2 linked regions of the Oryctolagus cuniculus genome follow. The protein of the gene in region 1 interacts with the protein of each later gene in a pairwise test. Links are inferred from orthologs where the notes say so. Each region holds a gene or a part of one and is shown on either strand. Other genes may lie near its edges.

Evidence for each region.
Region 2: the proteins of USP47 (region 1) and AP4M1 interact in binary tests that used the Homo sapiens proteins (3 or more experiments, as listed by UniProt). The two-hybrid records come from large-scale screens. The link is inferred for Oryctolagus cuniculus from reciprocal best matches to the Homo sapiens genes USP47 and AP4M1.

Annotation. Positions count from the first base shown.
Region 1 is NC_091432.1:54,271,584-54,276,426, forward strand, and holds part of USP47 (ubiquitin carboxyl-terminal hydrolase 47), read right to left. Parts: intron 2,357-4,843; coding exon 2,181-2,356; intron 1,824-2,180; coding exon 1,743-1,823; intron 1,029-1,742; coding exon 913-1,028; intron 561-912; coding exon 442-560; intron 1-441. UniProt on the Homo sapiens protein: Ubiquitin-specific protease that specifically deubiquitinates monoubiquitinated DNA polymerase beta (POLB), stabilizing POLB thereby playing a role in base-excision repair (BER). Acts as a regulator of cell growth and genome integrity.
Region 2 is NC_091450.1:42,372,345-42,375,785, reverse strand, and holds the end of AP4M1 (AP-4 complex subunit mu-1), read right to left. Parts: coding exon 3,388-3,441; intron 3,314-3,387; coding exon 3,219-3,313; intron 2,987-3,218; coding exon 2,942-2,986; intron 2,692-2,941; coding exon 2,641-2,691; intron 2,558-2,640; coding exon 2,446-2,557; intron 2,327-2,445; coding exon 2,102-2,326; 3' UTR 1,792-2,101; coding exon of another isoform or gene 1,411-1,791; 3' UTR 1,199-1,410; downstream 1-1,198. Other genes in the region: TAF6 (transcription initiation factor TFIID subunit 6), read left to right, coding at 1-42, 440-613, 781-978, 1,411-1,791. UniProt on the Homo sapiens protein: Component of the adaptor protein complex 4 (AP-4). Adaptor protein complexes are vesicle coat components involved both in vesicle formation and cargo selection. They control the vesicular transport of proteins in different trafficking pathways.

The DNA of each region.
Region 1 (4,843 bases):
GTAATGGCAGTTTATGAAACTAATGTATAGTCACTGTTCTCAAGTGTTTGATAAATTATCAGTATCACATTCTCGATGTAAAGTAAGTTATAAGGAATGTAATTTCCCCTTAAGAGGGAGTTAAGAGTCTCAAAATTAGAGAAAATAAGAGATACTTAAAAGGCAAATGGTACCCAAAGAAAAACAGGAGAAAGCTAAAAACACTGGATGCTTTTTTAACAATAACTTAAGTATTACAGTGGAAGACAATAAAACTCCTGGGAATGGGATGTAGGAGGAATCACATCAATCCACAAAACAATGTCTTTATGTTTCATGAAACACAAAAACACCAAACTGTATATTAGGCTTCTGGTAACTCACTACTTAAATAAAACCATGGATTCTGTTAGTTCTAGAGTATTGCCAATTGATATTTCCCCACAATAATGTTGATAATACCATCAAGAACTTCAAGGAAAACCTCCCAGTTGCTGGAAATATTAATATCTTCTTCATAAATATGATAATCCAAAAACACGGTGCCAGGATTCTTCCATGTTTTTTTCCGTAGACGAAACCTATAAACATGATGACATTTTAAAGTACTATAATCTGAAATTCTCACTTTAAAAACCAACATTAATCTGACACCAAGGAAAAATGAACTATGTTCAAATACAAAGTCAAATGGTTACTCATTAAAAATGTGTCAAGAAATGCTCCCAGTACTTCAAATTTAGTATCCTCTAGAGGAAATGGAAACAAAATTATAATATCCAGTCAAGCCTATTAACTTAATTTTCAGTACCAGCATTGTGACGAGTACCCAAGTTTGTAATTCTTCCAGTTTGAGAAAACCACGCCAGTCCCTATTGACTGAACATACAATCGTTTCTCCCAATCACAGATGACACTGTAATTTGACTTTACCTGTCAATACTGAGCTCTAAACCACACTGCTCCCTGAGTTGAGGAACTAACTCCTCTTTTGATTGCCGCACAGTCATTCCTTTAGCAAACACAGCATCTAGCAGAAACTTGCACGGCTAGGAATATAAACATAAACAATTAGACTATGACACAATAAGGATTATCAAGACATTTTACTTGACACAGACTCCGAAACTCGGGCCCTGCATTATTCTTTTGGATATTCGACACAGGTGCTATACAGCACAGGAACTAAAATATTTTACTGATTAATCTCTAAGAGCTTGTTTAGATCCTTAATCTACCATTTGCAAGTTATGTGCTCTTGACCAAGATACTTCTCTGTTCCTTAGTTTTTTCATCTATAGAATATTTATATTGCAGAGTTAACCAATGAGCATTAAATGAGTTAGTATTACAAGCACTTAGAGCACACAATAAACAATATATAGATATGTTAAAAATACTAAAATGATTCGGGACCTAAGAAGTATCTGTAGATTCTTCGGGTTAACCTATAGCGTTAGGACTCATCCCAGAAAGCAAACACAAATTCCTTTTAAAATCAGAAACATTCTGCTTCACTCCAGCACTGCAGCAATACTTTAAAGCAAGAGGATGACAATGGCCTGTGGACCAAATTCACTGCTGTGTTTTTGTAAATAAAGTTTTATTGGGACACAGTCATTTCCAATTGGCGATGGCAGAACATAGTAGCCGCAAGAGACAATAATCTGTAAAACTACAATAGTAAAAAGAAACATGTAATAGTTTCTGTATCATGCTTTCAGTAATGCGAAAAAGTGGCTTTACATTGCTGTATTACTTACCTCTTGTTCATTGACTAAAAGCTGGTATACTTTAACTCTGTATTCTCCTTTTTTAAGTGCTCTCCCCAGTCTAATTGTAATCTATAAATTAAAAACATGATTTTAGAAATAGCATCTTAGGAGACTAAACAACCTATTTTCACCCCACAGTTTAGTTTTGTTTTCCAAAATTCTCTAGATTATGGGCTGTTTGAGAACAGGTATATTTACCTCTCAGTTCCCAGCACCTAGAATAGTAACTAACACACAGTTAACATCTCAGAAATGTTTGTTAGATGAAGAAAACCACCACCAAAATACCCCCCAAAAATCACTAAATATCAAAGACAAATGACCCTTTTAGGGTATCTACTTCACCTTACTTGGAAGTAGTACAAGATGTTCTCAAATCTATCATTTAAAATAGATTCTAATTATTCAAGGATTATTTTAATCAACCTTATTGTCATCTGAAAATGATGAAAGTGTCTCATTCAGTCGGACGCTCTCAAACTCTTGATTGCTGGCATATACTCGAAAGACCTTGAAGTGAGAGGACAAAACTCCAACAAAAGGCTCTAAGTGTTGTTTGAAAGCTGCCAGAGTAATTCTTTTATCAACATGCACCATCAACCCTGAGCACAAAAAAACCAAAACAAAACAGGAACAAAAATGTAAAAGAAAACCTCTTTTGAGTATAAATAAAACAGGTCATATGCTTCTTATTATAAGATAATCAGGAAAAAGTACCCCCTTTAGCTAATGTATACACTGAATGGTCAAAATACATGGGCACTGAGTATATGAGAGGTATAATCTGATACCTTTAAACATTCTGAGACACGTCGGTGCTTACTTACTTAGGTCACAGCTCTACCTGTGACAGTGGAGGCTCTGGCTGGGATCCAACCCTGCCTCCTGTGTTTACTTATTGGTAGGACACAGAGAAAGACACCAGCCTCCATACCTCTGTTTCTCTATTAGAAAATTGGAGATAATAACAGTATTTATCTCGCACTGTGAATTCAATGAAGCAAAAACATTTATCATGCTTTCAGCATGGTGCCAGATATATAGTAATTGCCTCTGGATTTGAGTTCTGGGATTTTGACTAGAAACATGTTTAAAGGCTAGTATAGTAAGATGCTTTATCACATGGTTGGACTGTTAAGAGAAAATATCTAAATGGATCAGAAACAACCAGGTCTAAACTTAAGCGCTCTTTGCACTGTAATTGGACTATCTGAGATAGGCTATACTCTTTTCCCCAGTACTTAGTATTTCAATTTATTTTGGTCCCTCATTTTATATGCCACTCATGACGATACTTCTGGAATGCTTCTACTTATCCTGGTCCATCTCCTAGCAAAAAGCAGAAACTTAATTGTTTCTCTCTGTTGTCACCAGGCAGTGTGGAATACAAGAGCAGCCATGCTGCCTCAGGCCTATGGTCCACCTGCAGCCCGAAGGCTCCCTCTGTGGTAGATCAGGTTTCTCTATGATCTCTTTCACAGCTGAAGGATGAAACCCCTCAAACACCTCTCCTAGGCTCACACTCCCAGGTCATCTCAATTCTTGAGTGATAAATTTTTCAACTAATGTTCACTGCTTTCCTAGTTATAAAGACTCATTATAGAAAATGTGACAAGTACAAATTAGAAGAAAAGATAAAGAAAGTAATGTACTTTGTTTACTACATACATTCAAGGCAGCAATTCTGGGGTGGGCATCTGGTATGGTGGTTAGGGCACCACTCAGGATGCACACATCCCATATAAGAGTGCACAGGTTCGAGTCTTGGCTCTGTTCCTGATTCTAGCTTCCTGCTAATGTGTGCTCTTAGGGGGCAGTGGTACTGACTCAAGTACTTGAGTTTCTGCCACCCACATGGAGACCTGAATTGAGTTCCAATTTCTGGTTTTGGCCTGGACCAGCCCCGGTTGTTGTGGGCATTTGAGCGAATTAGTGGATGCAGATATATCCCTGTTTCTCTGCCTTTCAAATAAATAAAATAAATTTAAATGTCAATTTTTTAAAACAAATATTTATTTCATTTACTTCAAAGGCCAAAACACACAGAGAGATGTCCCACATTCTGGTTTCCTTGAAATGCCCACAATAACTAGGGCTGTTCCAAGCTGAAGGCAGGAGCCAAGAACTCAGTCTGGATCTCTGATATGGATAGTGGGACCACAAATACTTGCATCACTTCCTGCTGTCTCTCAGAGTATGTAACGGCAGGAAGTCGGAATGGAGAGCAGAGCTGGGACTGAAATCCCGGCACACTGATACCGATGCAGGCATCCCAAGTGGCAGGCAGTTTAACCACTGTGCTAAAAGCATACCCCAAGATGTCAATTTTTAGGCTTTAAGAGGTACCCTTAAATGTTAATAATCAGTGTTTGGCAAAGAAGCCTCTATTTATGTTGTACAGCAAGGTACTTCTTGAGAAAAGGGTTTAATGGAGAAATTTCCTGACTAGAAACCAGAAGCCCATGACGGGGTATCAGTGTTGTCATTTCATGTGGTAACCGGCCGTAGGTAGGTCTGCCAGTCTTCCCAAGCCTCACTTTCCCCACCTGATCACAATAGCAGTCTCAGGGATTGTTATGACAAGAGCAGGAAATTCAAAAACATTACTAAAATAGAAGCCATTCCTGCCATTTTGGTTCCTCTCTTAATCTCTAGCAGTGGCATGTCACAGGGAGACACAAATACTGGTGGGCACGGTGCGGGATGGTGATTAGGATCCAGGGATTCCGGGGGTTGATGGCCTGTCCTGAATGAACCTCCTGACTTTTCTTCATATATTAGATTTGTGACTGACTTTGCCTTCTTAACTTCTCTGTACTTCAACTACCTCTACTGTAACACACATTCAATAGTATTTATACCTCATAGTGCATTTCTGAGTCAATGCATGTTAAATGCTTAGAACAGCCTTGGCAAAGAATGTTGCCAGAATTTACTGGAGTTTTAGAGACCACCGTCATGCCATTTCTTACATCTACCCCTTGAAACTAAACAGTCATTCCTTACAGCACACTTCAAAATATTGTTAGGGTTTTTTTTTTTTTTTTTTTTTAATATTTAACAAGTGATAACCAAAACTGTACAAAGCA
Region 2 (3,441 bases), on another chromosome or scaffold:
ATCGACCGCATCGGGGCCGACCACGTGCAGAGCCTCCTCCTGGTGACCAAAGCCCCTGCCTGCCCACCACTTGCCACTAACACCCCTGTTTCCCGCCCTCACACAGTGCTGAGCTTGGCCACATTTATCTGAGCTCCTGTTCTGCGGGCAGACAGACTAAAATCCAGGAGGGTCATGAAGGAAATCGGGGCATCCACTCAGCCTGCAAACTTGCCCAGCCCCCTGCCCCCCATGCTCTCCATCACCAGGGCCCCCTGCCGTGCGGGGCAGGCGTACACCCCCTGGATCAGGTGCCTCGCAGATGTTACTTAGCAAGCTGCTTCATTCCCACCAGCTGGTGCCTGTACTTCCTTATGAGGAAAGCCCACAGCATTCCTAGCAGCAGCTTGGCCGAGTCCCACGGTCACCCTTTCTAAGAGTGCCAGCCTTCTCTCTGCAGAAACACTGTGCCCCTGTTCTGGCAAAGCTGCGCCCACCGCCTGACAATCAGGATGCCTATCGGGCAGAATTTGGGTCCCTCGGGCCCCTCCTCTGCTCCCACGTGGTCAAGGCCCGGGCCCAGGCTGCTCTGCAGGCTCAGCAGGTCAACAGGACTACGCTGACCATCACACAGGTCAGCGACCCATGGGTGGGACGTGGGCCCTCGCCTGCAGGCCCCGAGTCAGTGAATGATGTAACACCCCATTTCTTGTGAGCAGTAAGCGGAGCCTGAGTCTCTCCCTTCAGCACCGCCTTTTTTCTTAGATGTTGACATTTCCTTCTGGTCTGTTCTTCCTGCAGCCCCGGCCCACACTGACCCTCTCACAGGCCCCTCAGCCTGGCCCTCGGACCCCTGGCTTGCTGAAGGTGCCGGGCTCCATCACACTGCCCGTCCAGACATTGGTGTCTGCACGAGCTGCCGCCCCACCCCAGCCTTCCCCTCCTCCAACCAAGTTTATTGTAATGTCCTCGTCCTCCAGCGCCTCATCCACCCAACAGGTATGCTGAGGAACTCTCCAAGGGCCATGCCACCTGAGAGCACCTGGGGAGGTCCCAGAGCAGAGCCCAGTCCATTCCAGGCCCAAGGTCAGGAGATGGAAGGGTCACTGCCAGGGGTCTGGGCCAGAGCAAGGCCTCCCGCTGCCTGTGGTCTAGGGTAGGGTTGGGGAAGGGCCATTTGGGTATTTATAAAAAAACATCCTTCACAGGCCATACACAATTCATCCACTTAGAATTCCCCTGGTATAGATTTATTGGGTTTCGAGTCCTGCCTGTGGCTCTCACAGGCTTTATCTGCCACATGGGCTGGTTGTTCCCCCCGCCTGGTAGGGGTCTGGAGACATGAACCGTGCCTGGGAGAGCACCTGCAGGCCCCTGAGGAGAGCCAAGAGCATGGGGCAGTCGGTGGACACTGCTGTCCTGTCTCCCCAGGTCCTGTCCCTCAGCACCTCAGCCCCCGGCTCAGGCTCCACCACTACCTCTCCTGTCACCACCACGGTCCCCAGCGTGCAGCCCATTGTCAAGCTGGTCTCCACCGCCACCACCGCACCCCCCAGCACTGCCCCCTCTGGTCCGGGCAGTGTCCAGAAGTACATTGTGGTCTCACTTCCCCCCACAGGGGAGGGCAAGGGGGGCCCTGCCTCCCACCCTTCTCCCGTCCCTCCCCCATCATCTTCCCCATCCCCCCTTGGGGGCAGTGCCCTCTGTGGGGGGAAACAGGAAGCGGGGGACAGCCCTCCTCCAGCCCCAGGAACTCCAAAGGCTAATGGCTCCCAGCCTTCCGGCTCAGGCTCCCCTCAGCCTGCTCCATGACAGTGCCCCCCATCTGCTGACCTGCACGTGTGCCAAGTGGAAGGATGGAGCAGGCTGCTTCCCCCACGTGACTTTCTTTTTAGATTACACAGCCATTTCCCAGAATAAAAGTTTGATTTGTAAGCACTGATTTCCCCAAGTTCTCCCTGCATCGGCTCCCATGGAAGGGGGCCGGTCTCTCGAGCCCTCCTGGTTTCTCCAGACTTCCTGCTCACATCCAGAGCCCCAGACCAGGAGGCCAGAAAAGAAGATAATTGTCCTTTTCCCACTTAAGCGCCTGCTGCCTCTGTCCTTGTTTCGAGACCCAGCTTCAGATCCGAATGACATAGGCGCTGCTGTGGCTCAGGTGTCGCACCCACTTGTGGGGGTTGGTGTTACCACACGGCCTGCAGGACAGTCTGAGGAAGCGGACCTGGAGGCCAGAGCACGTGTGCCGGGGGAGTTCGAAGGAGAGGCTCGCAGGGCCCAGCCCCAGAGGAGAAGCCGAAGTGGGAGTCCCATGGCCGGGAGGCCCCGGGAGGCTGGGGACATCCATCTGTGAGGAGAGAGAGCAGGGAGGCTGTCAGGCCAGATGAGGCTGCAGCTGCTTTGGGAGGGCTGAGCAGGGGCTGGGGTGAAGGGCAATGGGGAGGGCGCTAGAGCAGCCGTGGGTACCTGGAAGAGGCCTGACAGTTGAGAGCCTCCTTGCACTCGAGGCAGGTCCCAGTGAAGGGCTCCCTCCCCCAGCTCTGCCTTCTGTTCTGGGCTGCTCAGCTCCTGAGACAGGCTGGGGTGGGGAAAGGGACAGTGCTGGGCCCAGCTGCACTGCAGCCCTGGGCCATGCTATTCCCCGGGGGAGCTCACACGCACCTGACCACCCCTCGCGGCAGGGGGAGGTGCAGCCTGACGTTGAGAGCTTGGCTGCAAACGAGAAAGGAGCAGAGTCGGCCCCAGAAGCCATGGTCGTCCCTGGTCCTGGTCCCCCTTGAGCGTCACTGTGGGAGTTCAGCACAGGTGCCACCTCCACTTCCTTCCCAAATGTTAATGCCGCCAGCGAAACTGGAATCTGAGGCTGGTGGCTGCACGTGAGGAAGCAGCATCGCATTCTCGACCTTGGCCCTGTATGCTGTCCTAGCTGGCTGGACCAGGAAAGGCCAGCGCCCTCCCTTACCTCTTTGGGGGCAGGTCACATCGCAACTTCAGGTAAACCTGGAGCCTGGATGAGAGGGTGAAACACCATCTGTTAGGTCGTGTCCTACCGGTATCTCACCAGTGCCCACCCAGGGCCTCCACGCACAAGGGGAAGGGCCAAAGCCCAACTCCACTAGGCAAGCTTTTTCCCAATCTGCACCCTCTAACACGACCTCCACCTCCCTTCTGTGGTAAGCTTTGGCAGCTTAAATGTCTGGGCTCAGGTTCCATAGTTAGAACACAGGAAATGGTCTCACCGGCCTGAGCCTCGGTCCCACTGCACAGAGGGAAAGAGCCGGAAGGGAAGTGGGGAGGGGAGGTCATCGGAGAGTTGGTACCGCATCACCGTCAGCTGAGGTCAGAGAGGAAGGAGGTCAGGTTCCTCCTTCCCGTCTTCCAGGGGAGCCCCCGCCCCCCAATCCTGACCTCGCCCTGAGGAGGCTGCAGGCGGAGGATCCGATGAGATTCAAACTCGTCCAG